4 linked regions of the Xenopus tropicalis genome follow. The protein of the gene in region 4 binds, or shares a complex with, the protein of the main gene of each other region. Links are inferred from orthologs where the notes say so. Each region holds a gene or a part of one and is shown on either strand. Other genes may lie near its edges.

Region 1 (8,265 bases), on a different chromosome or scaffold from region 4:
CTCCTCTAAGATACTCCTTTTTTTGGAAGAGAGGAAAACTCTATCTGATAACACTGCTTGATGACCAACAGGACCCAGAGGTCTGAAACTACTGATTGGAAAAAAGTTGCAAGTCTGGCCCCTACCTTGGAGTTTTCCATACAAAAATAGTCAGGAAGACTTCTTGGATGACTGGGCTGACTTCCCCCTGCCACGCCCAGCCCCTGTGCTGGAACCAGCCCAAGAAAAAGGTCTTGCTGCTTCTTTAAAGTTTGACCTCGCCATGCTAGATAAGCCTCTTCCAGATCCTCGAAAAAAGAAAGGACTTAAAGGACTGACTCTTCTGTTTCTTTTTCTCCTGTGGGAGAAACAGACTCTTTCCTCCTGACGATTTAGAGATAATGTCGTCCAGTTTCGAGCCAAAGAGCCTTTCCCCTTCAAAAGGTAACGAGCACAGACTCAGCTTGGATGGCGTGTCCGCCGCCCACTGTCTCAACCAAAGGGCCCTTCTGGCTGAAACCGACAAAGCCATATTCCGAGCTATAAGGCGAGTGACATCTATAGCTGCTTCGGAGACAAAGGCAGAAGCTTGTTTAAGCTCCGATAAACCGACTGAAATATCTTGCTTATCAGCTCCATCTTTTAATGCCATATCTATGCTGTCAATCCAAAGAGAAACTGCTTTTGCTACAGAGCTACAACTAGAGCTACAGTGGGCCGACAGGCAGCCCCTGAGACTTGAAAAACTTTTCTCAATTCAGATTCCGTCTTCCTGTCAATTGCATCCTTCAGGACTGAGGAATCATCAATAGGGAGAGTGGTTTTCTTGGCCAGGTGAATGACCGCTGAGTCAACAGCTGGTGGAGAATCCCAGAACTTGGTGTCCTCTCCTAGAAAGGGATACAGCCTAGAAAACCAAGAAAGAAAGAAAAAGAGCAAGAAAGAGCATACACAGAAACCCTTTTGGAACCTTTTGACCACTTTTGACCGGAAACATGGGAAAATGTTCCTTGGACTTGGCAGAAGATGGTAACACCTTGGGTTTAGAGGCTGATTCAGTCGGGGACTCCACCCCTAAAGCCAACTTAACAGCTTTGATCAATGGTGAGACCAAACTTAGATCAAAAAAGGAACATTCCATCTCTTCTTCCTCCTCCTCTGAATCAAGTGGAAGTGAGAGATCTGCCCTTCCCATTGGATTGTGATGGGCTAAGTCATCATCCGAGGAGACAGGATCCAAGGAGACATCCAAACAGGGCTCAGAAGATGTAGCTTTAGCGATACCCTGAGCCACGGCTTCCGAAATGCATGCCAGCAAACTGGAAGAAACAGCAGAGCCTGAAGCTGAAGGAGGAGACAGGCGGGACGGCTCTGCCAACAGTGAAAAACAATCTGCACATAATTTCTTATTCGGGAGACATCCTTGGTGCACAGTCTAAAAAAATTATAAACCAAATAAGCATAAAAAAGGCACCAAAAAGGATAAGATACAAGAGAAAAATTAAATAAATAAATACCTGCAATCAAATAGACCAGGAAGACTAGACGGCCACTGGATTAGGAACGTGTAAAAAACGCCCAGGAACAAGGCAGCACCTAGCTGGAAAAATTCATCAAATTTAAAATTTCAAAAATACCGCCCTCAAAGGAGCAACAACCAATAGGGAAGGTAAAACCATCCAGTCCTGGTGCTTGCCTGGTTTTAGGCGTTTGATTGCCACTGCTATTTCCTCATGTGTGAAATCTTTATTCATTAACTGTTTCATGTCTAGAGTGACCTGGAAGGTATTTTTGCAGGTAATTGTCTAGTTCTTTAGATTTTTCTTTTGTGTAAAATTGGTAAATGTTTCCACTATCTTATCTGGATTGGTTAACTTGCCATCCTTAAAAAATAAATATGCCCATGTATCCATGGGCCTAAATTGTTCTACGTTAAATTGGACTGTAAATATAATTTAATCTCCAGTGGATAAATAAGGATTTATAGGCCTTCACAATGGCAGGAGTAAAATTATTTGAGTGCAAATTAAAAGGAGGAGACTGGGCTGTTACTGTGGGAGACTGGGGGGCCAAACCCAAGTCTTTTGGGGTATACTAAGAGATTGCACTATAATTATTTACGTTAGGGGGTACATTTATGGTTAAAGTTACCCGTCTTAATGGCTATAGCTTAATGTTGTTATTGTTGCAATATACATAGGGGACTAAAAATGATAACAATTATTATTGGTATATATTTAATGAGGTTATTATCAAGCAACCCAGTCAGTTAAGGTTCTGTACCCTGAAACAGCAAAACATGCAGCTGAGGGTCTAAAGGTGGGAAGAAAGGAACAGTCAGCATTGGATTTGTCTGTAAGGTGGGAAATGGGGGTCCTGTTTTATGTGTTATTACAGTTTTGCTGAAATCGTCCCCAAATTAGTCTCAGTTCCCCCAAGAGACCTGTTTAGCTTATTAGTTACAATTGTATCTCAGTGCAGGTGTGGCTTTTTACCTTTCTGGGCTCTCTGCCAAAAGCTACTTATTTAATTAGGCTAATGTCAGACGAGGCGTCTGCCGTATATTTTCGGCAAGCGGAAAATCGATTGCCAAAATACCGCCATCTGCCTCCTACCTGTGCCTGCACCGAATGAATGTAATACGCTCAAGTGCTTTTCCGCTTGCCATAAATATATGCCAGACGCCTCGTCTGACATAAGGCTGATGCCACACGCGGCATAGGGCTGATTTTTTCGGCAAGTGGAAAAACGCTTGCTGAAAAATCAGCCCTACACCTGCTACTTGTGCCTGCACCCGAATGAATAGCAATAGCAGTATTGGGGAGCTCAACCCTCTGTTAACTTACCCAAACGGGTATCAGGTGCAAATACTGGAAGAACCTCACCTTGCATGGGGGTCAATATCCAACAGCAAAAAAATCCAGTAGCACACTGAAGATGCAAATCGTGAAAAAAATGTATTTTATTTGCCCAAGTACATAAAAACAAGCAAAGAGCAACGTTTCGGGACCCTCCGGACCCTTTCTCAAGCTTGAGAAAGGGTCCGGAGGGTCCCGAAACGTTGCTCTTTGCTTGTTTTTATGTACTTGGGCAAATAAAATACAATTTTTTCACGATTTGCATCTTCAGTGTGCTACTGGATTTTTTTGCTGCACCCGAATGAATGGGATACGCTCGGGTGCAGGCACATGTAGCCGATATACGCATGAAAACGCGAGAGAATGCAAAGTCTAGCGTTTTCATGCGTATATCGGCTACATGTGCCTGCACCTGAGCGTATCCCATTCATTCGGGTGCAGGCACAAGTAGGAGGCGTAGGGCTGAATTTTCGGCAAGCGTTTATCCGCTTGCCGAAAATTTCAGCCCTACGCTTCATGTGGCATTAGCCTTAGCCTTAAAAGCGAGAAACAATGTTTCTAAGTGCAGGTGAAGCTCAATCAGATTTCTGGGCTCTCTGCCAAAAGCTACTTTTAATTAAATTTGTATCTTTTTTTAGCTTCAGTGCAAGAGATCAAAGGGAAATGAGGGACTTTTCAGTAAGAATCTGGGACTGCGGGTTAAGCTGTCAAAAGAGGGAATGTCCTGCGAAAATCGGAACAGTTGGGAGGTATGTTGAAGCAGTAATAAATTATCCCTATTATATTGTATATTATCCCTATTATATTGTTATTGGTTTTTAAACTTCAGAGAACCACCGCTTGACCAGCAATAACTTATCAGACAAGCAAGGAGGGATCACAGCAGCAGCAGGATGAACAGATAATACGTTTCATGGTGTATATTAGTTATGACAGATCAGCCAGACCTAAATGCCAAAACTACAGCGCAATAACATTCATTTTTAGAAAGATTTATCTTAAAATTGTTCATGAACTCAGGTATGATTTTGATCTTTTGTATTCCCAGGTATAATCCTTTTTTCAAGGTTGACGAAAATCTAACTTTTATCTCCACATAAAATTTGTATTTTTAAGGCAGTGCCCTTTTCTTTTGATGTCTTCGTGTTATACACTGTTCCTTACACTTACCACATCGTCTTTAGTTTTCATGCCAATGTGAGAAAAAACTACTAGTCCCAGAATTCTCTATTCACTGGCGTTAAGGTGTTGCTCGGCGACAAGGACGTCGTGATGCAAGACGTTGTTGTTGTTATTGCGGCCGCCTGGTAAGTAGGCAAAGATGGCGGCTCACTGGAGCAGCGAGAACGTGGTGGTAGAATTTCGGGATTCGCAGGTGAGTGGAATAAATGCAGGAGCTGTGGGTTCACTGCAAATATCGAGCGCTCTAATCTGAACAACCTACAGAAAAATCGGCAGATAGAAGGGAGTGGCTTGCGCATGCCTAGTAGTAGACGCCTAATGATTGAGTCAGTTTTTAGCTGTCAGGGGAGGTAGACATGGCTCCAGTATGCCTGGACTTCTCTTTACAATTAGTTTTATAGTGTTTTGTATATTCAGGAGGCCATTAAGTGCAATTGTCAGATTGTTGACCTATTAAATAATGTGATCTACTGTTCAGTATATATATATATATTTTTTTTTTTCTTTAGCTCAGTCACGTTGCTTGTCCTAGTATCTAGAATTGTAGCACAAGTTCCAAAAGGCATGTCATTTTTAGTGTGGTAAAATGAATTTGAACATTTCCTTGTTTCCGTGTTCTTTTGTTTTCTCCTGCATTCCAAAATTATAACAAGCAGGATTACTGGCTTTTAATAAAAAAAAAAAAACTAAAGATTAATCCACTCTCTCAAGGTAACAGTGCTTCACTTACACATATAGTTGCCTATTGAAGCGCTGGGTGTAAAACTATGATCCCCTCTGCCCAGGGTCACTCCTTGTAGAAAGAAAGAAAGCCTCAGCAGCACGTAATGATGAAACAAAGGCGATTTATTCGGGCCACAAGTAAGGCAACATTTTGGGCTCTACAAGCGCTATTAAGCCTTAAAAGGCTTGATAAAGGGCTGGAAGAGCCTGAAACATTTCCTTACTTGTAGCACAAATATATCACCTTTGTTTCACCAAAGTGATCTATGCTCTTATACAGAGTTAATGAGAAATTCTTTAATCAAAATAAAATTTGCAGTGTTTTCTCTCCATCCCTCAGTGATAATTCGCAAGAGTGGCAAAATGCTGCCCCCCTAAGACTCTTGAAAGCAGCAGTATATATGTATACTGAATATATATGTGTTCTAGTGCCTAGCATGTTAAACAAGCAACCATAGAAAGAAGTATCTTGTAACAAAACCAGTACATAAAAAATGATTTTATTCAAGGTTTCATATTAAAATGTCAGTATACATACAAACCCTAGTATCTCCATGGAGTGTGTATATTTTTCCTGTGCTTGTATAAGTATGCCCTGAGCACTCCACTGTCCATAAGGGTGAATAATGGGACAGCTTGAAGCCTAAATTATACACTCATTAGGTTTTAATCTGGGCCCATCCATTACACTATATAAGGTAATCCTAGTTACTGCCCTAATAGCTTTGTATTGTTGTTTTATTTCTGTAAAAAATATTTTTTTCATCCTGGTCACAAAAAGAAAATATAAAATAAATCCACTATAAATGTATTATTTATTATGTAAAGAATCATAACTTGCAAATATGTAATGTTTTTATAGGCAACTGCTATGTCAGTCGATTGCCAAGGACAGCTTGCTGTACTTTCTGGGTAAGTTTGTTTCCAGGAAAAAAATAGTGTGCATAGTGTATTTATACATTTATTGATATAGCACTGTGCTGATTACACAGAGCTGAGACATCAGTGACCAGTTCAAGAGTAGTGCATTTGTTTTATGGATCTCTGTCTGTATAAATTGCCAGGATTTTTAAGATTGAAAGATTCAAAAGAACTTACATTCTAACTACGGAACTAAGGGACCTTTGGACAGTGGGGCACTTATTTAGGTTTCTGTTATAAGAACCAATATCTGGTTTAAGGCATTCTGAGTGCACTACTTATATCTTACTTTATCAGAATGCACATTTGCATCAGCAACTAAACAAAATGTAAAACAAAAAAAAAAAGCTTTTTGATTATTTTGTCTTTTAATACAGTAATTCTTGTGCCCGTGCAAGTGTGCATATTTGCTATAAAATTTGTTCTATTCACTTTTGCACCATGCTGGTTTGTACTGATATTGGTTTATATAAAACCAATATTAACCTTAAGCTGGCCATACACGCACCGATAATGTACAAAACCTCGCTTCGTACGATATTCGGTGCGTGTATAGCAAGTCGGCAAGTCGACCGATATCGCAGGAGGCTGCTGATATCGGTCGACTCGCCGATCGGCCAGGTTAAAATATTTTGATCGGGCGCCATAGAAGGCGCCTGATCAAAATCTGCCTTCAGGGCTGAATCGGCAGAAGGAGGTAGAAATCCTATTGTTTCTACCTCCTTATCTGCCGTTTCAGCCGTGAATGGTTAGTGGTTGATTGTACGATCTTTCGTGCGACCATCGGTCGGCTTCGGCACATGGTATGCGGCGGTGCGGACGAAAAGACACCGCGCACGGGCGCACACGACCGAACGTACGCCGCTCACGGGCACCCCGCGACTGACGCTGCACGCATGCGAGTTTCGAATTTAAGGACGCTGAGGCCTGTACACTTTGCGAAGTGATCATTTTTGCTTGCAATCGTCACCGATCATTTCTGGTATTCCTGATTGATCCTTGGACTTCTGATTTCAGCTTGCTTCTGACTACTCTTCGGTTACCCCTTGGCTTGACTTCGGACTCTGACTTCTGATTTGACCCCGGCCTGTTTTATGATCTTCTCTTCTGCATTTGGTGCCTGATTTTGTGTATTCACCTGGGCTTGGACTTTCTTGCTCACGTACCTACGTAGGTACCTACGTCACTCCTGCTATTCTTCAGCTGGGCCTGCTACTGTTACCACATCCAGTGTTCGGGCCCAGTGGGAAGCGTAGGACAGGCTAGTTTTCATCGGTCTATCGCGATATCTGATAGTATCACTTCGCCATGGAGTCTGGTGATCAAGCGGCCTTTTCCTCTGATGTGCTTTTCCAACAATTAGCAGCGCTCACCCAAGCAGTCCAGGATTTACAGGGGTGCTATCAGCAACTACAAGTTCAGATCCAGGGCCTTGGTGTGACAACAAATCCAGCCCCAGCCGTTCCTGTGAATCCTTCTGTTTCTAGTACAATGGGTTTCCAGCACACTTGTGAGAAGTTTATCAGAGGAGTGCACGCAGCATCATATGTTCACCTCCACATACCTTCAGACTTCAATGTATGGGAATAGCAGCACTCATTTTCATAAAACCACCTTTATTTTACATGTGGCACAGACACAGCAACATTTCTGACCTCCTGGTCCTTTCTCAAGCTAACAAAGAATCCTTCTGTTTCTTCTGGTACTGCAGCTACTCACTTGCTGGTCATTGAACCCAAGATGCCTCTGCCCAAGCGTTTTTCTGGTGACAGAAAGAAATTTCGTGCTTTTTTAACTGACTGCCGTTTACTATTTCTTCTAAAGCCCCAGATGTATGCTTCTGAACAAACTAACGTTGGACTGGCAATCTCTTTGCTATCCGGAGAGCCAAAGACCTGGGCACATCGACTGCTGGAAACTCGGAGTCCTCTGTTAAGTGACTCAAACGCCTTCTTTGGTGCCATGGCACAACTCTATGATGACCCTAAGAGATCTGCAACAGCTGGCAAATGCCCAGTTGAGGACTTTGTAACTGAATTCCATACCTATGCCACTTATACGGAATGGAAGATAAAGCTCTTAAACATCAGTTTAGTTTAGGGTTAAGTGGGTCCTTAAAAGATGAGCTGGCCCTTGTGGGAGTCCCTGAGAGTCTGGAAGATCTTATTGAACTGGTGATTCAAATAGATCGATGACTATAAGAGAGATGTGCCGAAAGATCTAATCCGGCTTCGTCATCCTGGGTTCTTTCTAAGGCTCCTTTTGTTCTACAACCCCTTACTTCTGCTACGCCAGTGGAACCTCCTGAACACATGCAGATTGGCCTTATCAGGATCGCCATCTCTCCTGAGGAAAGATTCTGAAGAGGGCAACATAATCTATGTGACTGCGGTCTCCCTGGTCACTTTCTAAGAGATTGTCCTACCCGGCCCGCGGGTAAGCCACATAGACCGACTTCTTCTTTTTCTACTCCCACTATTTCCAAGGACATTCCTCTGCTAATTGTCCCTATCTCCCTACAGTGGTCCCAAGGTCTTCTAAAGAATCAAGTCATCATTGACTCTGGAGCCTGTGGTTGCTTCATTGACGCTACTTTTGTCAA
Region 2 (8,009 bases), on a different chromosome or scaffold from region 4:
GCGGCAAATCTGTGGGTTTGTACAAGCTGTGAACCAGCCCCCCTACCCTTGCATCCCCTACTTCCCCTCTTAACTGTCACAAACCTGTCTCCCTTATTAACCTCCACTGTCCCTTCTCCACCCCCCACTACACCGGCCCCTGCCAGTGGTTGCTCAGTGAGCCTCCTGTTCTCCCCCATGTTTGCAGCTGCCCTCAGTGCTGCCAGTTCCCCCCCTTAGATTCTGCACCTCAGATTCCAAGAGGAAAACCCACCTGCATCTCTCACAAGTGAATGCTGTATGGAACTGCTGCTCCAGGATCACATACATGTGACAAGATTCACACTGAGTAACACCGGCAATCATACTGGAACTCATATTGCCACTGGGTACTTACAGTCTCCCGAGTGCAATCCCTCGTATAGTGCCTTTTTAGTTTTAAACACCCTTTTGTTTTTAACGCCTGCTAAACACTTATATACACTTATGTATATCAGTTGGGCACGTCTCCCCCATCCAAATGACATTATTTGTACTGCATATATCCACTCTGTTTCCTAGCACCATCACATTATTCTAAAGCAAATATTAGCTTTCACCCGGTCATCATTTTTCCTCTAATACCTTATCAGATACATTTAAATCTGCAAACAGCCTACACACACACAGACCCTTATTCAGCATACATTTCATCAAGAATACAGGCTAACATAGGCAGAACTGTCTTTGATAAAATTTCTTTGTTTAAGCTGAGCTCAGGAGAGGACGTTAGGAGAAAAAAATTGAAGCAGACAGAGCAAGCCAAAAATCAAAGCAAATTCCTGAGGGGGGGGGCGAGTGGGTTACAGGAGGAGAAGGAAATCTAAGTGATTAAGGAGATGCTGCAGCCTTACTATTAACCTCTGGACAACCAGTGTGGCAGGTATTGAAAGATTTCAAAGAGGCTGTTTACTGATTCAATTTTTGTGTGTGGGGTTTACATGTCCTTTAAGACTTTTTTAATCAAAGGGAGACTGTAAAAAGTTCATTATAAGATTTGGCTAGCTGGAACCAGGCTTTGACATTGCATGAGTTCTCGCAGGGATATAAAAGGTTGAATCAATTTCATTGTCTGATATGGATCACCTATTTCCTTTATCTCCAATTTTTGCAGGTTACCATGAGACCAGAGAACTGACTACATTTTTGGAAGCAGTTAATCAAATTCACTAATTAATCAGGCTAATAAGGGGACTCTGCAGTGTCAGCTGTGGATTGTCTACATACAGGTTTATTTTATATTCCTTGTCTGCTTTTTGGTAACCCATTACTATCTCCTTATGGTGATAGGTTCAGTTGCCAAGGAAAGTAAAAGCTGTGTTCGGGCCCCAAGTGCCACCCTGAGGCTAATGCAAAGAGCGCAATAGCATAAAAAGTAAATATTGCTTACATAAACAAACTGGACCAGCTAAATTTTTTAGAACCAAATGTAAATATGCTCACTTAAGGGATTCAAACAGCACATTTTTTTTACTATATGTAGAAAGTTTATTTCTGTCAGGTGAAGTTTGTATTATTTTTTATTTTTGTGGGGAGGGCCAGACCATTTGGCAGTGTATACAAGAATTTTAGGAAAGTATATACTGTACATGGCAGTTTAGGGAGAGCCCATTACATAGCTAAAGCATTGGAAAAATGCTACCTTTTCATCTCTGCTAGCTACAGTGCTGTATTTAGGTTTGGTGCCTGTTGGGTTCACAGTGGAGTTGTGCAGGATAAGTAGAAAGTCAAGCTGGATAACACATGTAGCTGAGCTAACATTTAGGCATGCAGCTCCCTCTAGTGGTACACAACAATGCCACTCTAGACACCAGACCTAACTATACCCCCTACTTTGCAGATGTGACATCATTGTGCCCGTGATGTCACATACCCCTACGTTGTGAAAGTGACTTCACATGCTGCATGTGCGTGGTGACAATTCTGCAGTGCAACCCAACCCCCTACCATGCACCCCCAGCTCCATTACCAGATTTACTAAGGACTCTGGCACACGGGGAGATTAGTCGCCTGCGACAAAACTCCCTGTTCGCGGGAGTGCCATCCCGCCGGCGACTTACAAGTTCGCCGGTGGGATGGCGGGTCATGGCAACTCGGGGAGATTAGTCCCCCGCGAACAGGGAGTTTTTGTTGCGGGCGACTAATCTCCCTGTGTGCCAGAGCCCTAAGGCTGGGGGCATATATATATTTTTAAATTGTAAATGTAATATATAGGTGCATATTTGTAAAAACTGTATAACTTTGCCCTTCTCACCACATCCCTGCCCAATTTGCCTATTTATGTTATGATCACGTCTCCTTGTCCCACCTGCCCCTTATGTCACCGGCTCGCCTCTTCACTATGTGGCCAATATGTTTCTGTACAAAATGTGGCAACTTTAGGTACAGCCCAATGTGCTTTCCTCCTATAATTTATAAGGTGCATGATATACAGTAAAACCCCCATTTTACATTTCTCAGGAGACCAGAAAGAAATGATGTAAAATTCCAGGAAAATGTAAAAGCAAAGAAATGTATTATGCATTAAAAGTCGGTGGGTCCACCTAAACAGTGTAAAATGTGGGAAAACCCAAAATAAGGTTATTTAAAATTAAGGTTTCACTGTAACACAAACATAAGTCCCTCTTAATTAAATTATTAGGCCACAAGCAGGACTTCTATATGTTAACCGTTTGGTCTTGTATTCCTTTACGCTGTAAAACCCAGTATGAAAGGATAACGCTATATAATTAATAACAAAGTATGTTTAGCGCAAGCCATAGTCACTGAACTGTACTGTGGCAACGAATGCGTTAATAAACGCATTTCATTTTATTTCCTTACTCCGATCACTGGTCACCTCAGCGATTACTCTGTAGAAAGTATGGCGGGGAAATTATAGCCAATGAAAGTACAGTTTGGGTTGTTGAGAATTGCCAATCAGAACGCTTGTGGCAGACAAGGCGCCGTCTGGCGGCTTTTTTTCAGGCTCTGCCTCTTTTTTTCAACATAGCCCTGTAATCTGGACGTGTTCGTCATTAAGGGGGTAGTGGTGGCATAGCCAACCTCAAAATTAAGGGTGTCATGGACGATAAATTCGCTGCAAAATTTGTCTCTCACAAAATTAGCAGAACTCGCTGGCGCCCAGTGTCGGCCTCGTCGCTGCAGCAACCGGATGTGTTTGCTACGGGTTCCTGGGATAATGAGGTATGGTTGTGGCACGGGGAAATGTGTTTAACCAACATTCGGAGTAAACTAAAAATCACAATGATACGGCTGTAGGTGATCTATAATACCCTGAATCCCCTGCTGTCAAACTCTTACAGTTATTTAAACTACGGAAGAGCAGCATTTCCCAAGTATTACATGGTTAATTTAGATCATTGTAATAATTGTGCAGCCATGTGTTTGTACTCATTGACGTATTACCCTCTACAAGAAGCTTACAGTTTCCTGTAACACAAGAGCCCTGGGTACACTTAATGGGGGTTGGTAAATCTAGTCATTTTCCTAGCACAATTTTAATTATTATTGACACAGCACACCACAAAGTGCCAGAGTGTGATGTAGTTCCACTGATGGCTACAAATGTCAAATAGCACTGCCTTAGAATCCGAATCACGAATGGGAAAAAATCGTATTGGAAACGAAAATTTCGTAAGATCGCAAATATCACGTAAATGCTTATGACAAAATCGTATTAGTCACGATAATATCGGATTGGCGACCCGAAAGTCATGAAATTTTCATACCGAACAATTGTAAACAGCGGTAAAACCTTTCCGATTTTTTCGTGCAAACGTCTGAAAAAGTTGAGCGTCGTATGAAAAAGTCGTGCGGACGCCCGAAAAAATCTGCGAAAATACGCTCGGAGCGTTCACATGAACGCTCGTGCATTCGTGCTTTTGTAAATGTGCCCCTTAGTGTTAAGGCATATCAAAGTTTGATATATTTAGTGAAAGTTTTGCATACAGTTTTATGACATGTCAATACACTACATATACTGATTTTTTTTTTTTAATGCTCAAGGAAAACAAGGTATGTGTGTGGGCCACTTCAGACTTTGGGGCCATAAGTCTAGAAGAAGAATACCAAGGAGATCCTAAACAACTGTGTGACATCAGACACATTGGCGATGTTATGGACATGCAGGTACCTTAACAAAGGAACTTTTTATTTACACTACATAATTACATTCTGTTGTTTCCTCTACATAAGGATATTCTTATCTCACTAGCCAAGGGACCAATTGCCCCCATACTATATAAAAAATAGCCATAAAAGAAATGAAACTGTATGAAATCCCGGCCCTTGAAGAAATAGGCTATTCAACTACAATTTATTCAAATTCACTTTTCCTTAATAAGTTCACATAATAATTTTATTTATTGTATTGTCATAGTTGGTGCCTATTAATAAGTGGTGGAAAATGAGAGGGCCCTTTTGTGTTTGAACTTTTCACAAATCTTAAGACATCAGGCAAACTAATTATAATGGTATGCTAGTTTGGGTCAAGTCATAATAGTGAATTATTTGACTTCATTAGATATTGATTGGAGTAAAGGTCCCCATACACCTTCAGATTCCCTCGCTTGGCGATGTCGCCAAGCGAGCTGATCTTCTCCCGATATCCCCCACCTATTGATGGGCGATATCTGGAGAATCCAGGCTGATTTGATCTAATTATAACGACGGTATAGGCAAAGTTGGTTCAGGGTCCGCATCAACAAGCCGATGGGGTCCCCGATCCGACTAGGTTTTTTTAACCTGCCCGATCGAGATATTGGTTGGGCAGGCCCATCAGTAGTGCCCATACACTGGCGATTAGCTGCTGAATCGGTCTAACGGACTGATATCGGCAGCTAGAATCGGCCTGTGTATGGAGACCTTAATATTAGTGTCAGAACAGTTAATTTAACAAGTTTACAAACTTACTAAATAACAATTTTATGTCACAGATTGTTCAGGGCCCCTAAAGGAATTATGCTATACTTGACCTAGTGATAAAACAAATGCACTAGAAGCCCAGGGTAATGGTGACCATAATGTTATCTAAATGAATATATGAGTGTTAAGCTGCATGATATGTGGGAGTAAGTAAGTTAATAGGAATGAAGAGGAAGGCTTTTAAAAACTACAAGTGAGGGGACAGATGATTCTTGTAAAGAATGTTAATACCACAAGTGTTGTAAAGCAGCAATAGGGAAGGCAAAGGTGAAATACTTTTGGAGATTAGTCTTTGCCTGTGCAGCAATAATCTCCTCATTTTCAAAGTATCTAAGTTATAAAAAGATGTAGGTGTGGACTGTGGAAATGGAGGTGATTTGGGTATAAAAGACCATAGAAAGCAAATGTGCTTAAGGATTTCTTTTCTACAGTGTATACAGTAGAGAAGTTGGGGTTGCAAGAACCACTAGGCAAGGACACAGATGACTCAGCTCTATCAAGTCAATTGATGACTCAGGACATGGTACTGAGTCACAGTATGTACTGCCTGCCCTATGTTGCCTTTGTGTATGGCACAGGCAGCATAGGGCAGGCAGAGTATGGCACCCACAGGCAGCATAGGGCAGGCAGAGTATGGCACCCACAGGCAGCATAGGGCAGGCAGAGTATGGCACCCACAGGCAGCATAGGGCAGGTAGAGTATGGCACCCACAGGCAGCATAGGGCAGGCAGAGTATGGCACCCACAGGCAGCATAGGGCTGGCAGGGTATGGCACCCACAGGCAGCATAGGGCTGGCAGGGTATGGCACCCACAGGCAGCATAGGGCTGGCAGAGTATGGCACCCACAGGCAGCATAGGGCTGGCAGAGTATGGCACCCACAGGCAGCATAGGGCTGGCAGAGTATGGCACCCACAGGCAGCATAGGGCTGGCAGAGTATGGCACCCACAGGCAGCATAGGGCTGGCAGAGTATGGCACCCACAGGCAATATTCTACCTGCCCTACCCTGCCTGTGTGTGCCATACTATGCCTGCCCTATGCTGCCTGGGTGTGCCATACTCTCCCTCCCCTATGCTGCCTGTGGGAGGTGAACCAGTATATAAATGCTGGGGGTTGCTGTGCTATCCACAAGGGAGGATGAGGTATATGGGTTTAAGAGTGTGTCTTAATATGACATAATATAATTCTTTCACATATGGATGAAGGGTGATATCCTTACAGTGAGCACCTACTATTTGGGTTTTTGGCTGCTCTACCACCATTAATGTGGGTATGATTTTAAAAGCTCTTGTGATAACATGGGTGTGGTTTGAAGTGGGTGCAGTTTAAAAAAGGGGAGTGGTCAAAACTGGCTTCCATTATCAGCCCTCCACCATATAGGCCAGAAAAATTCAGGCCCTTGTTTCCACAGAAGTTGGACAGCACTGCTATAAACCCTTGAGTACTATGAGAGCTGAGGTCAGTTTTAGCCAGGCCACTTTTCTGATTTTCCCTACTTGCTTGCATGTGGTTTGGTACCTATGGATTGGAGGAAATCTAATTTAATTCCAATATTTAAAAATGGATCCTCCAATCTTAGCTTGGCAATTATAGACCCATAAGTAATGGACATGCTTATTTAAAGGTTTGTAAAGGGATCACATTCAAGATTATGATTTGGAGGATGGCATTCTAAGTAGTAATCAATAATCAGCACTATGAAGGACAGATCATGGACACATTAAGCATTTTTTTAGGATGAGGTAAGTAGAATAGTGGAGTTGCAGTAGATGTGGTCTACTTTGAATTTGACAAGTTCACCATAATGGACTATCTTCTAAACAGGGATCCTCGAACTACGGCCCGCCAGGGTAATTTTTAGTTATGAGGAAAGGCTGACCCATGTTTACACTGTAAAGGAGAAGCTTATAGTAACTGAGTAGTGATTACAATCACTTACCTGATACCCCAGGATGGTGCTCCTGGCTGCTATAAAGTTCACTGGTCTGGGCAACTACTGTAAGAGCTCTACTTTACAATCATTATCTTCTGGATCATCTTTTACTGTTCTGGTTTGGGTGCACATGCACAGTAGTGTGAAAAGCTAGCATTTCTCTCTACTGTGCATATGCAGTACCGAAGAGAAGATCTAAGAAGGGGAAGAAGATTGCAAAATGGTGCTGCTACAGAAATACCCCCATTTACAGCTAACAGAAGCACCATCTTAGGGTATCAAGTAAGTGATTATAATCACTGGGAGGTGCCTAGCATAGCTTTTCTTCTACTTTAAGAGGAGTTAGGATGACTATGTATAAATATATAAGGGGACCATAATATAAACTCTGTTTTATACACTAGTATGTCCTTCCAGCAGACAAGGGAGTCTATTCTGTCATTGATCAGTGGTTGAAAAAGGTTTTTGGATGGAGTAATAGGGGCCTCTCCTAGGGTGATATATACCTTTTTCTAGACATTTATTGATTTGTCTCTGTCATTACATTTGTTAATGAGTTAAGGACCACAAATATGCTACACATTGTAGCATGATTCCTACCTAAAGCATGAAGCAGTACCTCACAAATTTTGCCTATCACTGCTTACTTGAGGTAAAACTAATCCGTGTTAGACCTTAAGGTCATCAATTGTATACTGCTAAAAAAAAGTGCAGGGGGAGAAGGGACCTGTAATTGACTAGCTATCCATATAGCTTATTCTTAAGGGCGAAGACACACAGGGCGATTAGTCGCCACAACTTTTAATTAAGATGGCTGCGGCGACTTTTCACTCAGAGAACAATTTCATCACCGTGCAATTTCGTTGCGCAGCTTAGTCGCCATGACTTTTCAAAAAGTCGCTGCGACTAATCTCCCCGTGTGTCTTCCCCCTAAAAGTTGTGGCCATTGCAGAAAAGAAAAGCAGCTCATCCAGGCTGGGGATCCACAAACAGATTAGTAACAGCACCAAAAATATATTAATGTGCATAAAATTAATATTATGAATCCCTCTTTCTGTCACATGCTTCCCCTTAAGTTTTTAGATCAGGAGAGGATTGTAACTGCCTCATCCACAGGAACTGTAACAATC
Region 3 (7,981 bases), on a different chromosome or scaffold from region 4:
CCTTACCGATTAGTGCTGCTTTTTAAATATTTGTTAAAGGACAATGAAAGGTTAATATAAATTAAAAGTAAATCTAAAGGCATTCTTTTTAAGTACTTACTGCATATCTAAATTCCCAGATTCCTGCTTGCTTCTCTGAGATATGGTGCTGGCAGCCTACAGCAGTGTGAAGACTACAGTGACATCACTAAAATCTCTCTGTCCTTCCTGTAGGCTGCCAGTGGCATCTTCCTATTCTCTGAGCATGTGTGTAACTTGATCCTGTCTCCTGTTCTGAGCTACACATGCCCACCAGCCAATCAGAAGCAGATCTGCCAGAGGGGAGGGGGGTGGTGGGAATGAAACACATGTGCAGTATGAAGCAAGGAGGGAAAGGAAGGGAGAATACCTTTTTAGAGATGGCTGCCTGTTCTAGAAAATGTGAAGTAAGTGTGACTGAGTAAATATTTGATTAGGTGAGCCAAAAGTGTGGTGTTTTTACTAAACAATAGGAGGACTATTGGGCAGTATGCTTTTTACATTTTGACTTGCATTCTCCTTTAATGTTAGATGGTAAGGTACATCACCTGCAGTTAAATATGCGATATCATGAGCAACAAATCAATTAAAAATGCATTTCCAGTGCCAAACATAGAACTTGCAGCAAGTAAAACATACTGCTTGCAGCAATCAGGCTTAACCTTATGAAACAGTCTCCCTTGCATTTTCCCACTATTAAAGACAGAACGCCGTGAGTTACATTTAACTTGTGGCAATCGCAATGTTAGGCAATGGTAGTGCAAGTAAAGCTTTAACTGTAGGCCTTAGCGTTGTCCTTAGTGTTTTAGCAACATACATTATGACTTTTGAAAAACAGACGTGGGTACCATACTGGGCTGTAATACATTTTTTCCTGTTAAAAGTCACAACAGAAATTAAAAAAGACAAGTGATAGCATTTGCTCTAAAGTATCATATCCTCAAAACTTTTACTGAGCCCCGTACTGGCAATACACAACCAAGCATGCAAAATATGTCGATTACCACCCAAATGTACCAAGAAAGATCCTACAGCAAGAGTTCACACAAGCAAAGTTGGGTATAAGCTCAGAGTGAAAAGTTCCTATATATTTTAAATGGAGCAGTGTTTCTAATATGCATGCTGCAAATATGGCAAAGCAAACAAATCCACAGAACATATTTACACTTAAATTTAAATCAGTGGATTTAATTTGCTGTGCTCATCCAGTCAGACTCCTACTTCAGTTGTCATGTTTTTTTTTTTTTTTTTTTTTTTTTTAACACAGAGAGGCACAAACTTAATTTACCTGTTTATTAACCTCAGCAAGAGCCAGCTGTAAAGTCAGAAGCATATTGTCTGCTCCATATATTGTCGTTCTCTCAGAATCAGACACAACAGGCCACTCTTTTCGAAAGTATTTGATTAAATCCAACACATTTTCAAGTGGACAGTCCATTTTCAACCTAAGGGGGAAGAGAAAAGTTTAGTAAAGACAGGAAAAAAAAAAATAAGTACAACATTTTACCATTAGATAAAGAAAGAAAAGAAGAATCAATCACCAGGGATGGTGAGTTGCTTGGCACCCCCAGTGGTCGTTGCCACCTGTAGCATCTGCCCAGATGCCAATCCCCACCTTACCCACCCCACACTCACTTGTTTTGTGTTGCTAGCACTGAGCGTACAATTGTACTTTCTGCACTAGAACTTCTAGAAGAGATGAATTTTGGATTAAAAAAAAAAAAAAGAAAGAAAATTTGTATTTAAAAAAAATAAATAAAAATCTGGCTCTTGAAGTTACCAGAGGCAGCTTTCTGCTGCCCCTATTAACCAGCCATGCACTGTTCAATGAAGGAGCAGTCTGGGCTCGCCACAATAATAAAGCATAAACCTGTAATACTCTATAGAACATCAGCACTGTAACAGAATTAGAATCAGCATAACTCATCTTCAAATTAGAAGTTTATAGGCTAATGATCTAAACAGAAATGCTTTTATCTGAAAGGATGCAACCTTCAGGTGATCCCATATTCTATTTGAGCAGTATATTTAGGTCCTTCAATGGTCAGGACAGTTTCAAAGTAAATTGCATTCCTGAGCACATCTCCAGAGCAAGTCTTATCAGCTACTGCACACTGTTTTATTGTTTACTGTCCTAGAGTCCAGCTTCAAGCACAACCCCCCTAAAACTCCCTTTTCGTTCCCAAGAACTCCCTTCTGCAGAGCCTTTTTCTATAACGTGTAATTGTAAGACAATATAAAAACCCCCCAATCCTTTGTCTAAGTATTCTTAGACTCTTGCTCAGAATCTGTGATAAATAAACTTTTTCTACCCCAAATGATATCCGGTATCTGAATTTCCATAACAGTAGCATATCTTAACCTGATGTGGTCACCCAAGTCTTTGGCCAAATCAGGCTACAGGACCATCAACCAGATAATATGAGATAGCCATGCATTGCTGCTTAGCCATCATGGCCTACATCCATTCTGGTACATTCCTTGTCTATAGGTATTTTCTTCAGGTAAATAAGGCTCTCCCTAAGTATGGGAAATATATATATATATATATACACACACACACACACACACTGGAACAAGGACAGCACTCAACGTTTCAGTCTTACACAGAAACCTTAATGGTCTCCAGATGGGTAATAAACCTTTCTATTTTTGCATTTACATTTTGCTCACAATTCTTTAAATCCTAGGAGTGCTGTCCTTGTTCCAGTGCATGTTTTTGGTACTACCACCCAGGTATGCACCCTATGGACAGATGACAGATGATAGATAGACAGATAGATAGATATTCTATGCAAAGAAAATCATAACACAAACACAACTCCCCTCACCCCACTACTTAAAAAAAAATAATTACACAAGTGAATATGTATAAACATTGCAAAGACTTAATAGAAAACAGGCCAGGGATGGGGCTGTTCCCGTTAGGACTACTAACCTTTAGCTGTCTGCCTACTGCTTCGCAGCAATATGTTGTGCCTGCAAAACATATATTTTTTTTTAAATGTGGCTTAATTACATAGAGGGTGAATGGTATGCTATATGTGTGGGGGGTTAAGAGAGAAGCAGCCATGGGGTCTAATGAAGAGAGAAGGAAATATTAAAATATTAGACAGGTGTAAAAAAAAAAAAAAAAAATTTAGTATAGAAGCAAAAAGTAGATAGTGTATGTACATCATACTTACTTGTGGGGGTTGAGACAGAACGAAGTTACCACCAGAAGACGCAGCTACTATTCTCTCTATCAAACAAAACAGCAGCTGTTTCTCCTTTCAAAAACCTCGTACGTTCGTGGGACTTTTAAATTTTCGTAGCGCCACAGAGTTGCCTAGATTCAGCCAATCAGCGTGCGCGACCTAGAGCCCCGGATATGATAGGTAGTAGGAAGGGGATTCGCTCGCTTTGAAAGAGAACTGCAAATCTACTGGCGGGAGCAGGGCAGGCTGGGTCGGTGTGTATTGGTGATACAGCGGGGTTTCTGCGGTTGCTGAGATAGTTATAACTACGGAATATGAAATGTTTTGGTTGTAGGGTACATGGTCTGCGTATATTGCCAAAACGCGGCGTGTATTAATGGTGGCGGGTGGCTTTGGTAGAATGCGATTTCACCCGCTGTAAATGTGTCAGGCGTTTGCCGTCTGTAAGTTGATCGTATACAGTTTGAGTGCTTGTTTGTAGTAGTAGTAGTAGTAGTAGTAGTAGTAGAAGTATGCGTGATGTATATATGTAGGTTCTTGTTTGTCGTATAGTAGAAGAACGATATATCAATTGAACAAACGGGTGTATGCACTATAAATAAAATAAATACACACTACACAAAATTAAAGACAAAAGGAGGTCCCTGCCCAGTCTAAGTAACTTTGTTACAGTGGTTGTTCGCTTTAACTACTAGTATGATGTAGATCGTGCTCTGAGACAGTTTGCAGTTGGTCTTCATTTTTAATTGTAGTTTTTAAATTATATAGCTTTTTCTTAAGCAGCTCTCCAGCAAGTTCAGCATCAGTCTGGTTGCTAGGGCCCAATTTAACCTAGCAACCAGGCAGTAGTTTGAAAGACACAGGAATATGAATAGAGGAGGCTCGGAATAGAAAGAAAAAGTAACCATAAAACTGTGTCCTCAGCTTTTTGGAACCACCCCTTTAAAGCAATACTGAAATGTTTCCATAAAAATCCATTGGAATGTGTCCGTATTACTAACGAGTTGCAGAACCAAAAACCTTCTGCCAAAAGCCCACTAACACTGGCCCCAGCGCAGCAATAATTTACCTGAGGTGACACTCCAACATGGCTACAGATTCCTTTGCAGTTGTGTCAGTCATGCTGGGCTAAGTGTGGCTTGATCCTTCCATAGGCAGTTTTTATTTGTAATTAGCCCGTGGAAACTTTGCGTGACAGAGAGCCTTACGGATTCTTCTATCTGTCTCCTTCCTGGGCTGGAGGTGGTGCATTCCTTGGGGACTTTTGGCCATAAATACGTTGGTGCTGCAACTCTTCAGTAATAGTGACATGTTTTCTAGGAATGTGTCAGTAGTATTTTAAAGCGACCATAAAACTTTTTTGTGTATATCTAGCTCTACGAGGGCATGGACCTCCTTACTGCTGTGTCTTTTAGAATTTACATTGTACTGCGCTGCATTACTGCATTTTCATGTATTCATGTAGCACTTCATAAATACAAAATTTATAAACATACATACATATGCTCAACATAGAACTGCCCCAAGTATTATGCATTTCAAAAATACACTGACCAAGGGCCTACGCAATTTTGGAAACTGATAAGTGCAAACTGATCTATCAGCAAGTTTAAGGGCTCTGGCACACTAAGTAAGTCGCTGGTGGGCAAATTTCGGCAAATCGCCTGCGCAGCGTGTGCCATCCCACCGGCGACTTACATTTTCGCCTGTGGGATGGTAGTTCGGGGAGATTAGTCGCCTGTGACAAGGGAGATTTGTCGCGGGCGACTAATCTCCCCGTGTGCCAGAGCCCTAACAGCTGGAAAGGGTCTTTTTTTTTTTGCACTTTTTCTTTCATTAAAAGGGAGTCTCCATCTGCTCTGCTCCGTCTAAGGTCCTTATCAGGGTCAGGGTTAGCAAGAGCCATGCTGTCGCTGACTGTTTTTAGTGTGTTGAAGCAAACCAGAGTACACAGAAGAAACCCTGCACAAAGGAGAGAAAACACTACTTCTTCTTGCAGAGAATGCCCAAGCTGGAATTAACCTCATGTGCACACTTGAGAACACATGTGACTACAGCCATCACAGTAACACCTGTGTTGTAAAAAATGGCTTAATAAGGGTGCAAAAACTGTACCCTTTTAATATAGCATAGATCTATACATAAAATTTGAAGATTTTCTTTTTCCTTTTAGCACTTTTAGAAATAAGAAAACAGAAGCAGACTATGAAGCAAGATTCAACAAGTAATGCCACCTACACAGTGGACTGTGAAGATTATGTGCATGTAGTAGAATTTAATCCCTTTGACTCTGGGGAGGCAGGCTCTTTACTAGCTTATGGTGGAATTAGTTATGTCGTTATTGCATCTTGCAGGTTTCAGGTATGTACATGCCAATTATTTTTTCATTTAGTGGCTGATTTAGGGTAAAATTGTAGGTGTGTACATTTTTTTTACTCCAGGCCATTGTGAGAGTCATATGGAATCACTTGGAAACATCGGTTGATAAATGAAAAACTTTTTAATGTTGTGAAACATATATGTAAATTACTATTATGGAGTCAGCATTGACTACAGCAATTTTCCTAGTAGATAATCCACTTCACATTAGGGGGGCAGGGTATGCCTTTTTAGAACAGATAATATTAAGCCTAATGATCCTGATTCTGTCTTTTAAGTATAATCGCCGTTGGAAAGGCTTTTGCATCTCTTTGGTTCTCCAAAGTCGTGCAAAGTTTCCAGCTGTAGGCAATTTTGGAAAGCTGAAGAGATGTGTAGACTTTTCCACTGGACTATAACCTTTGTTTCTGGTGGAAAGGCGAAAAAAAGTGTTTTGGGACCCAGTGCTCCATTGTAAACTACAACTTCTTATAGTTATACTTAACATATATAATTTTAAAGAAGAAGAACCACTATATTTTGCTTGAATTCTTAACACAAAGGGCATCATAACTGTTGTATGGAACTGCACTAATATCCAGCCTACTAATATACTCATACCTGTGCCTATACGTGATATTTCATTTTTAGGAAGAAGATTCTGCTGTAGAAGGAATAGAGTTTAAGACCCTAAAAACCTTCCATCATGGAGAAAGAGTGGTTGCTATAGCCTGGAGTCCAGAAACACGATGTGATGCTTTACTTCCTCTACTGAGGTATGCATTTTTGGCTTTTTTAGTTACATACAGTACATATGTTATTTTTTTGACAGGGTTCTTATTATTTTTAGTATGTTGGTACTGTTATTTTTTTATTTTTTTTTTTTAAAATGGAACGCTTATAACTGACTTCTTATGGCACCTCAAATTGTGCAATCTTTGGACAGAAGAATGCAGCTTCCCGCTGCTGGAGATATGCTGGACTGTATATAATAGGCAGTCTTGCATTTCAGATTGTTTTCCCCAAATAGTGGTACACTTTGTGCTTGCTATTTTCAATTTGGGATCTCTACGTGACATACTTACATGACTAAGTACACTAATTTGCTTTATGTGTTTAAGAGGAGAATAAACACTTGACCTATTCCACTTTTTAAACCTACTTATAGATACACTATGCAGCCATTGAATAATTGACTGATGTGTTTTTTACAAAAATGTGTCCTTACTTCAGCAACAGCCCTTTTTTTGGTTGTGTCCATTACATTGTCTTGCTTGTCATTTCAGTCTACCACATGCTGGCAGATGTTCTCTGCTTCGCATAACTTATTCTTATGTGTCTTCTTATCATCTAATCATTTTTGAAGCTTGCCTTCTAAACACTTATTTTTGCTATAATGCTCCCTAAGCATCAAAGTTAGTATAAATATTGCACTGCAGAAAATAACGCTATTAGATAATCAGGTGATTTTTCTTTTCCCACATGCTCTCTAATCTTTATTCTCTAAATATACATTTAATTTACTTTTTTAATCAGAAAGCAATTATTTCTACTGTAGGTTTGCCACTGCAGCTGGTGATAAAAAAATAAGGATCTTTACATCAGATTTCCAGGACAAAAATGAGTATAAGGTACTGAATACTTTTATTTTTGCAATTCATAAGCCACTAATCATAAACATGCCACTATCCAGATAACTCTACAGACATTTGCAATAAACAAATGTAATACAAACAAATGCATTATGCATGTACATTACTTTATTGTTATTCGGGGGTCATGTAGCTAATTCTGGGTTTGAAACAGACATTTAGTGGAATTTTTCATGTGGTGTCATATTGAAGAATTTTGCAGTTTCATAGTGTTAGTAAAATAAGATCCAGCCCCCACTGCGTCCTCACTCCTGGCTACTACCTGTCACAGATGCAGCAGGAAGCCAGAGGACAAATCAGGGAGCAGGGATGCAGGGAGTGGGAGAACGCAGCAGGGAGTGGGCTGTAGTTTGAGGATGCAGGAAGGGGGGGGGGGCGTAGTTTGAGGACTACAGTCCGGCCATTCTGAGGGTCCATGAACTGGACCCATGTTTAAAAAGTTTGAGAACCCTTGCTGTAACCCATTTAAGATATGTGTCATGGGGAGCTTTAAACCATAAATGTGCAACCTTATAATTTGTCTACATGACAATGTTTGCATGGTTTCTTTCTTTTGTGTTAGTGGCATACACAGACACATTACATTTATTCCTATGTCATTTAAGCATTATTTTTTCATATTTTATTTTTCAGGTTATTGAAGGCCACTCTGGATACATAAATGACTTGGTATTTTGTTCTGCAGAAGGCAGTGATATTGCAAGCGTTGGCGATGACCACACATGCAGGTTGTCCTACACTCAGTTCTTGTGTGTG
Region 4 (8,119 bases):
TACAGATGTCCTGCTGTCCACTAGTGTTGTTCTTTTAACCTAAAGCAGAATCAGAATAAATAAATAATGGTGACCAAACATACATTTCCCCTTAATTTGGATGCTGCTCAAAAAGTCAGCGCTATGCCACCTCTAGCTTTTAACCTATTGATAAAGCAGTGTATAGAGTCACCAAACAACTTTTGTTTTCTGTTGGTGTTGGAGACCTCCATTAAAAAAATGATTGACATTAGGGTTTATTTAGGCATAGTGACACATTTCTGCTGAAATATTGAACATCACTATCCCTTTAAAAGTTGCCAATGTGTTTCTTAGTCATCAAATTCTGCTTCTTTTTATTCCAAACAAACCTTTGAGAGTGGCCAAAGAGTTAATTTTTACTTTAGTTCACAGCACTTTAAAAGATCACTGTTTTGTATTCCTTAGCTTAGATGTTGATGTTTGTGATGAAGTTGAAGGTTAAGCTTTCCTTTGATGACTCTTCCATGCAGATCATGTTTGTGTAAGCAGTGCTGTGCCATGAAACTATGCAACACCAGTCTTGCTCTTAATCTTGCTCTGTCAGATTGTCTCTAGACTTCCACAGTTCCCCTTCCCCTGCCATTTCTTGATGACATGGCGACAATTAACTTTGTCAGATGTTCGCACAGTTGCATTATGGAGTCCATGATTGTTGACTAACAGAGATTTCATTATGCTATTCAAATGTTAACAGTTGACAACTCCTAATAGATATTAAGGCCTAATGGGGTAATTAGGGTCAGGTGAAAGGGTGTCCAAACCTTTGCACATGCCATAATTTCTTGCATTTGTTTATACTTCTCTATGCTTTAAAGTTTGCAAAATAAAATGGATCTGTGAATTAATGTTTGCAAATATGCGGTTTCTGATTCAACTGTATTTGTTTACTATAAATTTACTAAATATTTAATTTGGAAAGGACTGCCCACATTTTTCAGACTGTACATACTGGGGTAAATTACAAATCTTCCAGTTGAACACTCATGATGTTATATATAGACAAAAATGATGCACATCCAGGTGTATATTGAAAAGGTGCAATCAAAATATAATTATCATATAATCATATATACAGTTTTCAAACAAGCTCAATACTGGGAAAAATGTGCTCATATATCTGACAATAGGTCTTACCCAATGACTCTGTCCGCGCAGTTTATCATTTGATTCACCAACTATTTCTTCCCACACTGCAGCAGTTCTGTCAAACGAACATGAGGCTAATACCTGGCCGAATTCTGGGTGAGCCCATGTTACCCGCCATACTGAACCACTGTGGGTCTTAAGAACAAGACAAAAATAACATTTTCCTTCCAGAATACAAAGGTTAAAGTAAATTACAAGCTGCTCCGACTGCTCTGTGCATTAAATACAGTGTATTTAAATATGTGTGCGTTTAGGAATAGCATGCTAATATTGAGGGCTGTGTTTTCTATGCAAGCACACAAGGTTTGTGCCTAGAGCAGTAGCAGAGGTGTATATAGCATTTTCTTTTTAAAGCTCCAGACCACCACTAGATTCTAGTGGCTAAATTAACAAACAAGATGAGGGGCTGAGTACCCAATTTCCACCAACTGGCACATGCACATTTACAGTATTAAGCATGCAACAATTGCATAGGGTAGCAACAGCTATTAATCCGCCACTCATAATACTGTAATAACTAATAAACTTTTTTTCATTATTGAAGCATGGCAGCTTTTCCCAGTAGTACCCAATCACTAAACCTTTTGCTCTGTTTAATGGCAATGGAGACATTTCCTTTCATTATACTGTCCCTTTAAAAAAGGACTAGCAAATTAGGCCCTAGTTAGTATCTGTTGATTGAACATCTAGAAAAACTATTTCCAGACAAGAAATGTCCTGTTTAATACACCAGTAAGTGCAAGGCAGCAGTATATTAAAATTAAACACATACGAAACAGTTTATTTACCGTATATACTCTAGTATAAGCCGATCGCCGAGGTACCTAATTTTACCTAAGAAAACTGGAAAAATTTATTGACTCAAGTATAAGCCTAGGGTGGGAAATGCAGCTCCTACTGCTTTGTTGTTTTTTTTTTTTTTTTTTTTTAACTGTCAGGCAAGTTTGGGAAGGCTAAGAAAGCTGCCATACTAAGTACTTGCCAACCTGCTGTGTGCGCTCCCCTGTGTGCTCTCCCATCCTGCTGTGTGCGTTCCCATCCTGCTGTGAGGCCCAAACCTTGGTTGAACAGCCCGTAATGCTGCCTTCAAGCTACTAAATAGCTGTTTGCTCCTCCAGAGAGCTTTCTATTGTCTAAGTGGCCCATAATGGGGACTTAGACTATTTTCACATGGAACATTTTGATTGTCTATATTTGTAGCGCGGTAAAAAAAATACCTGATGTCCACCACAGTCTGCTTCCCATTGACTTCAGAGCTGTGCAACTTGTCACCCAGCGTGGCTGAATATCACCCTAATACTTAACAGCTCATCCAAACAAAACAGCTTGTTGGATTTCTGCCGTGTGCGCTCCCAACTTAAAAAGGCAAGCGCACGCACGTACGACCATTCACGGGGGGGGGGACACTTACATCTTCAAATCCATATACTCGAGTATAAGCCAAGGGTGACTTTTTCAGCACATTTTTGGTGCTGAAAAACTCGGCTAATACTCGAGTATATACAGTATTTGTTTATTGTTTTACTGGTCTTTTAGTGCAGAAATTAACTTAGATCTGTCTACTGCAGGTGGAAGAAACCTTCAGAATTGTAATTTTGGTCACAATGTTGCTGTTGTAGAAATGCTTGTTTTGGTCTTTTTAAGCAGTCTCTGTCTCTCACTGCTTCTGTCTACAACAGACATAACATTTGTTAGACTTGCTATTCCAAGCTGTTACAGATAATATGGGTATTTCTGACTGACACTGATTTCCTCAACAGCACCTCTGCATGTCATAGGACTAAAATCCAACCTCTAACAACCCCTAACATTTTGGCACCTCCCAGTGATTATATCTTGCCTTCTCCTTTAATGCGGCTCTATGTTTTACACTTACTTGATATAATGGCCTCCCCTTTAATATCATTTTCTGAAAATTCCACTGCATTTTATTTGCATATACCCAATAAATAGTATGCATATAACAGATATTTTAGGACAGTAACTTACCTTCCAGCTTGCAGTACAATGCCAATCGCCATTTTCACTTTTGTCCCAAACCTACAAACAAATATATATAGCCCCGATTGATTCACAGCATGCCACATGTTGGTGTGAGAGTAAAAAGCAAGGCATTTTGTTTAGCTTATATATATAAGTAATAGGTTTACAGACCTAAAGACTACATGTTATAGGTGAAGGGGTGATAAAGTTATCTGCTTAGATAACTCCAACATGTGCGGACATATAAAGCCACATTTATCAACGGTCACACTGTCACCGGCGTACTAAGTGCCAGGAAATATTGCTGTATTTATCATTCTTTCCTATTAGATTTTTTCTGAGTGAAATTTATTTTAAAGTTAACTTTAAGTATGATGTAGAATGGTATTTGGAGAAATTTTGCAATTGGTCTTCATTTTTTATTACTTGTCGTTTTTGAGTTATTTAGCTTTTTGTTCAGCAGCTCTCCAGTTTGGAATTTCACTAGCTATCTGGTTGCTAGTGTGCAATTTAACCTACCAACCAGACAACTATCTAAAAGAAAGGCAGGAATATTAACAGAGTATGACCTAAATAGAAATTTAAGTAATAAAAAAAATCAGTGCCCCCCCCATTTGAAAGCTGGAAAGAGTCAAGAGAGGAAAGCAACTAATTAAAAAATAAAACCAGCTTAAAAGTTACTAAGAATAGGCCATTCTATAACATACTAAAAGTGAATCTGAAGGTCAACCAGCACTGTTGCAGCACTTTACACAGTTTGAAAAACCTGACATGACTTTTCATCCTGGTTGACAAGAACAGCAGACAAGAAAGTTTTGACCAAAAGCATAAAATGTTTTTCAACTGATCATAACTGGAGAACATTTCCTGGATAAATCCAACAATTGTGTAAATGGGGATTTTTTATTTTTTTTTAAATCAAATCAAGAAAAGGTCAAGATATGTGTAGTATGCATAAAAAGCCAATGCTTTAACAGGAAGCTAGTTTTTCACAGTTGAATAAATATGTCCCTTACAGGGAAAGTGACATGTTCCAGTCAAAACAGGAATGTGTCACTATGCCTAAATAAATCCAAGCTGCTAATCTTTTCTAATAGAGGTGGCCTGCCCCCCCCCCCCCCTCCCTGAGTTATATTGTGCTGCTTAGAGCTATGTATTGATAGGCTGGAGCACTGTTTATATTTGTGTTAAGGCAATTAAAAACTGGCACCAGCATTATAAGTGGTCCTAGCAAGAGCTGCTTGGTGTTATCTTTATTTTGGTTTAAAGGAAAACCAATGCCCTTTAAAAACCCTAGGCCCCTCAAAAGGAGTCCCCCTCCCAAACCACACCACTGAGGTCCCCTAATATTGCCGCAATTACTGTACCTATATTATATCAATAGCAGTGCAACAGGGTTGGTGCAGTGTTTATGTTCTCTATACAACGATCACCAACCTGATGCATGTGCAACACAGATCCGGGTAGGTCTGCCAACTTTGCCCTCAGCAAAAACCAAACAAAAGGGTGGAATGATTGGGGGCAAAGCAGTGACATATAAGGCAGTGATCCCCAACCAGTGGCTCAGTAGCAACATGTTGCACCCCAACCCCTTGGATGTTGCACCCCAACCCATTATTTTTGAATTTCTGGTAAGGAAGCAACCTTTTGGTTGCATAAAAAAGCCAGTCCACATAGGGGCTATTAAGTAACCAATTATAGCTCTTATTGGCTCCCTCAGGAACTTTTTCCATGCTTGTGTTGCTCCCAAACACTTTTTCCATTTAAATGTGGCTCACAGGTATAAAAGGCTGGGTATCCCCGATATAAGTTAATAACATCATAAGGTCAAAACTGAACAGATGGCAACCCTAGATCCCACCAATCCCGTTGCACTATTCTGCCTTTAAAGAACAGGTATGACCAGGGTACTATAAGAGGTGAGCAGTGCTGCAGGGGGGGTAGCTAAAAATGGCAAAAGGAAGACAGGCTCATCCACTCGGATCTTGGAGCATGTTTACAGCTATGCCAGTTTTACCAAACGGAAAACATCCTCTGGAGAATATATCCGCACGAAGCTATAGAACAGGAGGATTAAATATAGCCACACGCTTCCTAATTTTGCGTTGTGCAGTTAAAAAAACAGCAGGAAGGCCTTAGGATGGGTGCCCACAAAATTCTCCCGCTTACTTTCACACTCTGGTCACTGGAACATGTCGCCATCCTCCTGCCATGGAAATCAAACGACACATCGTGGATGAGATCTTTGTGATCGGCAGCGATACTTCTTGCCACGAACATAGTGCACAAGTCGGAGTGTCAAGCAGTTTGGACAGGGCTGTTGGTTTAGCGGTTCGAACTAGACGTCAGAAAGCAGCATGGATTTTTTTTTTTTTCATGGCCCAGACATGAGCCTGACGTCACAGCATCAGAACCTCTACGCGCCTGCGCAAGACTTCGCGCTTTTACATTCATCCATCCGGTCGCATTCTAAATACGCAGCGTACGAACTGTGGAAAAGGGGGAGGGTATTTGTGTGTGATGGTAGGCCGCGCAATTTAGCTTTCTAGGAATTTTATTATCTTCTGAGCTAGTTTCGAGCTGCTCGCTGAACTGTTTACTATTCAGAGCCACGGCTTGTAAAACAGAAGCGCTGCTATGTGCGCCCCAAGGGCGAGATTAGTAGCCCTGCAGCCCAGTCACAAGCAATAACGCCAATGAAGCCATAGTGAAGGTGCCGGCCCCTGAGGAGATTTGTCGCCCACAATTGAGGCCAGTGACACACAGGGAGATTAGTCACTGTGCAAAAAAACTCTGTTGTCATGGGCTACTAATCTTCCCGCAATGCCATCCTACGGGCTAAAATGAAATTCGCTGGTGGGATGGCATACGCGGCATAGCCATTTCCTCTCAAGACAACTTTGGCAAATTGTGGTGCTGCGTATGCCATCCCACTGGCGATTTACATTCTAGGTGGTGGGATGGCATTGCGGGGAATTGCTGGCAGAAAGGTGCACGTGTTTCCAAAGTCGCAATAGTTTTGGAAACTGCACAACTTCAGAAAACGCCAGAAATTAGTCATTCGTTATAACCAGATTTAACTGCGAGTGACTAATCTCCCCATGGCCTATCACGTTTACAATGATTACAATGCTATTTTGCTGATGACACAAAGAAAATTAATCTCTAGCGGTGGCAAATAATCTCCCCGAGTTCTTTCCTACAGGTAAGAATGTAAATCGCAAGAAACCTTTGGATTACTTCACTTAACTGAAGAGAGATTACTTGCTACCTCTAGAGGCGATTAATTGCAGGGCAACTAATCTCGTATGTCATTGGCCTAAAGCTGGTCATATACCCACCAATATCGTACGAAATGAGGTTTCGATATTCGGTGCGTGTGCGGTGGGTCATATCGATCACATCATTGAACGGGCAGGACAAAAAACTTTGATGATGCCCAATCAAAATTTGCCTTTAGGGCTAAATCGTTAGATAAGGGTAGTATCCCTATTGTTTCTACCTCCATATCTGACGATTCAGCCCTGAATGTCAGTGGAGGGTGGGAGTGATCTTTCCAGCAACCAATGATCGTACGAAAGATAATAATTGTAAGGTATATGGCCACTTTAAGGTAGAAAAGTATCAGTGGCTGCAGGTGGGATTTCTAGATCCACTCATCCAGGCCCCTCTTAAAGGCATTAACAGAGTCTGCCATTACCACATCACTAGGAAGGGCATTCCCCAGCCTCACTGCCCTCACCGTGAAAAACCACCTACGCTGCTTCAAATGGAAGCTCTGTTCCTCTAATCTATAGGGGTGACCTCTGGTGCGCTGATTGTTTTTATGGGAAAAAAGAACATCCCCCAACTGCCTATAATCCCCTCTAATGTACTTGTACAGAGTAATCATGTCCCCTCGCAAGCGCCTCTTTTCCAGAGAAAACAACCCCAACCTCGACAGTCTAACCTCATAGTTTAAATCTTCCATCCCCTTAACCAGTTTAGTTGCATGTCTCTGCACTCTCTCCAGCTCATTAATATCCTTCTTAAGGACTGGAGCCCAAAACTGCACTGCATACTCAAGGTGAGGCCTTACCAGGGACCTATAAAGCGGCAAAAATATGTCCTCATCCCTTGAGTCAATGCCCTTTTTTATACAAGACAGCACTTTATTTGCTGTAGTAGCCACAGAATGATACTGCCTGGAATTAGACAACTTGTGATCTACAAAAACCCCTAGATCCTTCTCCATTAAGGATGCCCCCAACACACTACCATTCAGTAGATAGTTCGCGTTTATATTATTCCTACCAAAGTGCATAACTTTGCACTTGTCAACATTGAACCTCATTTTCCAGTTTGCTGCCCAGTTTTCCAATTTTGTCAAATCGCTCTGCAAAGCGGCAACATCCTGCATGGAATAGTTTTGCACAATTTAGTGTCATCAGCAAAAATAGAAACAGTACTCTCTATGCCCACCTCCAGGTCATTAATAAACAAGTTAAAAAGCAAAGGACCAAGGACTGACCCCTGCGGTACTCCACTAACCACACTGGCCCAATTAGAAAATGTTCCATTTACCACCACTCTTTGTACTCTATCCTTCAGCCAGTTCTCTATCCAATTACAAATATTATGTTCTAGGCCAATATAACTCAATTTGATCATTAACCTTCTGTGAGGTACTGTATCAAACGCTTTAGCAAAATCTAAGTAGATGACATCAACTGCCATTCCAGCATCAAGGTTCCTGCTCACCTCCTCATAAAAGGCAACTAAATTAGTCTGGCAAGATCTGTTACGCATAAAACCATGCTGGCACAAACTAATAGTATTGTGAACTGCAATGTATTCAACTATCCTATCCCTTATTACCCCTTCCAGAAGCTTTCCTACTACTGATGTCAGACTAACAGGCCTATAGTTTTCAGGCTGAGAACGAGATCCCTTTTTAAATAACGGCACCACATTAGCAATCCGCCAGTCT

What was found.
Region 1: the proteins of seh1l (region 4) and wdr59 are in contact, whole or in part, in a cryo-EM structure (PDB 7UHY), measured with the Homo sapiens proteins. The link is inferred for Xenopus tropicalis from reciprocal best matches to the Homo sapiens genes SEH1L and WDR59. Residues at the interface, in NP_112493.2 of Homo sapiens: Asn308, Tyr309, Met310, Asn312, Lys314; in NP_085058.3 of Homo sapiens: Pro713, Asp714, Glu716, Thr717, Pro718, Arg721, Arg837, Glu840, Gln843, His844, Asn847.
Region 2: seh1l (region 4) and nup43 share a complex: the UniProt entries of both Homo sapiens proteins name them as parts of the nup107-160 subcomplex of the nuclear pore complex. The link is inferred for Xenopus tropicalis from reciprocal best matches to the Homo sapiens genes SEH1L and NUP43.
Region 3: seh1l (region 4) and nup37 share a complex: the UniProt entries of both Homo sapiens proteins name them as parts of the nup107-160 subcomplex of the nuclear pore complex. The link is inferred for Xenopus tropicalis from reciprocal best matches to the Homo sapiens genes SEH1L and NUP37.

The regions. Positions count from the first base shown.
Region 1 is NC_030680.2:74,562,096-74,570,360, forward strand, and holds the start of wdr59 (GATOR complex protein WDR59), read left to right. Parts: upstream 1-3,976; 5' UTR 3,977-4,158; coding exon 4,159-4,212; intron 4,213-5,604; coding exon 5,605-5,654; intron 5,655-8,265. UniProt on the Homo sapiens protein: As a component of the GATOR2 complex, functions as an activator of the amino acid-sensing branch of the mTORC1 signaling pathway. The GATOR2 complex indirectly activates mTORC1 through the inhibition of the GATOR1 subcomplex.
Region 2 is NC_030681.2:58,287,414-58,295,422, reverse strand, and holds the start of nup43 (nucleoporin Nup43), read left to right. Parts: upstream 1-2,788; 5' UTR 2,789-3,081; coding exon 3,082-3,204; intron 3,205-4,026; coding exon 4,027-4,149; intron 4,150-7,955; coding exon 7,956-8,009. UniProt on the Homo sapiens protein: Component of the Nup107-160 subcomplex of the nuclear pore complex (NPC). The Nup107-160 subcomplex is required for the assembly of a functional NPC.
Region 3 is NC_030679.2:49,127,255-49,135,235, reverse strand, and holds the start of nup37 (nucleoporin Nup37), read left to right. Parts: upstream 1-3,437; 5' UTR 3,438-3,469; intron 3,470-3,492; exon of another isoform or gene 3,493-3,636; coding exon of another isoform or gene 3,637-3,658; intron 3,659-5,388; coding exon of another isoform or gene 5,389-5,420; coding exon 5,421-5,576; intron 5,577-6,224; coding exon 6,225-6,349; intron 6,350-7,131; coding exon 7,132-7,204; intron 7,205-7,858; coding exon 7,859-7,953; intron 7,954-7,981. Other genes in the region: parpbp (PCNA-interacting partner), read right to left, coding at 1,307-1,456. UniProt on the Homo sapiens protein: Component of the Nup107-160 subcomplex of the nuclear pore complex (NPC). The Nup107-160 subcomplex is required for the assembly of a functional NPC.
Region 4 is NC_030682.2:103,473,804-103,481,922, forward strand, and holds the start of seh1l (nucleoporin SEH1), read right to left. Parts: upstream 5,494-8,119; 5' UTR 5,431-5,493; coding exon 5,320-5,430; intron 3,208-5,319; coding exon 3,157-3,207; intron 1,303-3,156; coding exon 1,156-1,302; intron 40-1,155; coding exon 1-39. UniProt on the Homo sapiens protein: Component of the Nup107-160 subcomplex of the nuclear pore complex (NPC). The Nup107-160 subcomplex is required for the assembly of a functional NPC.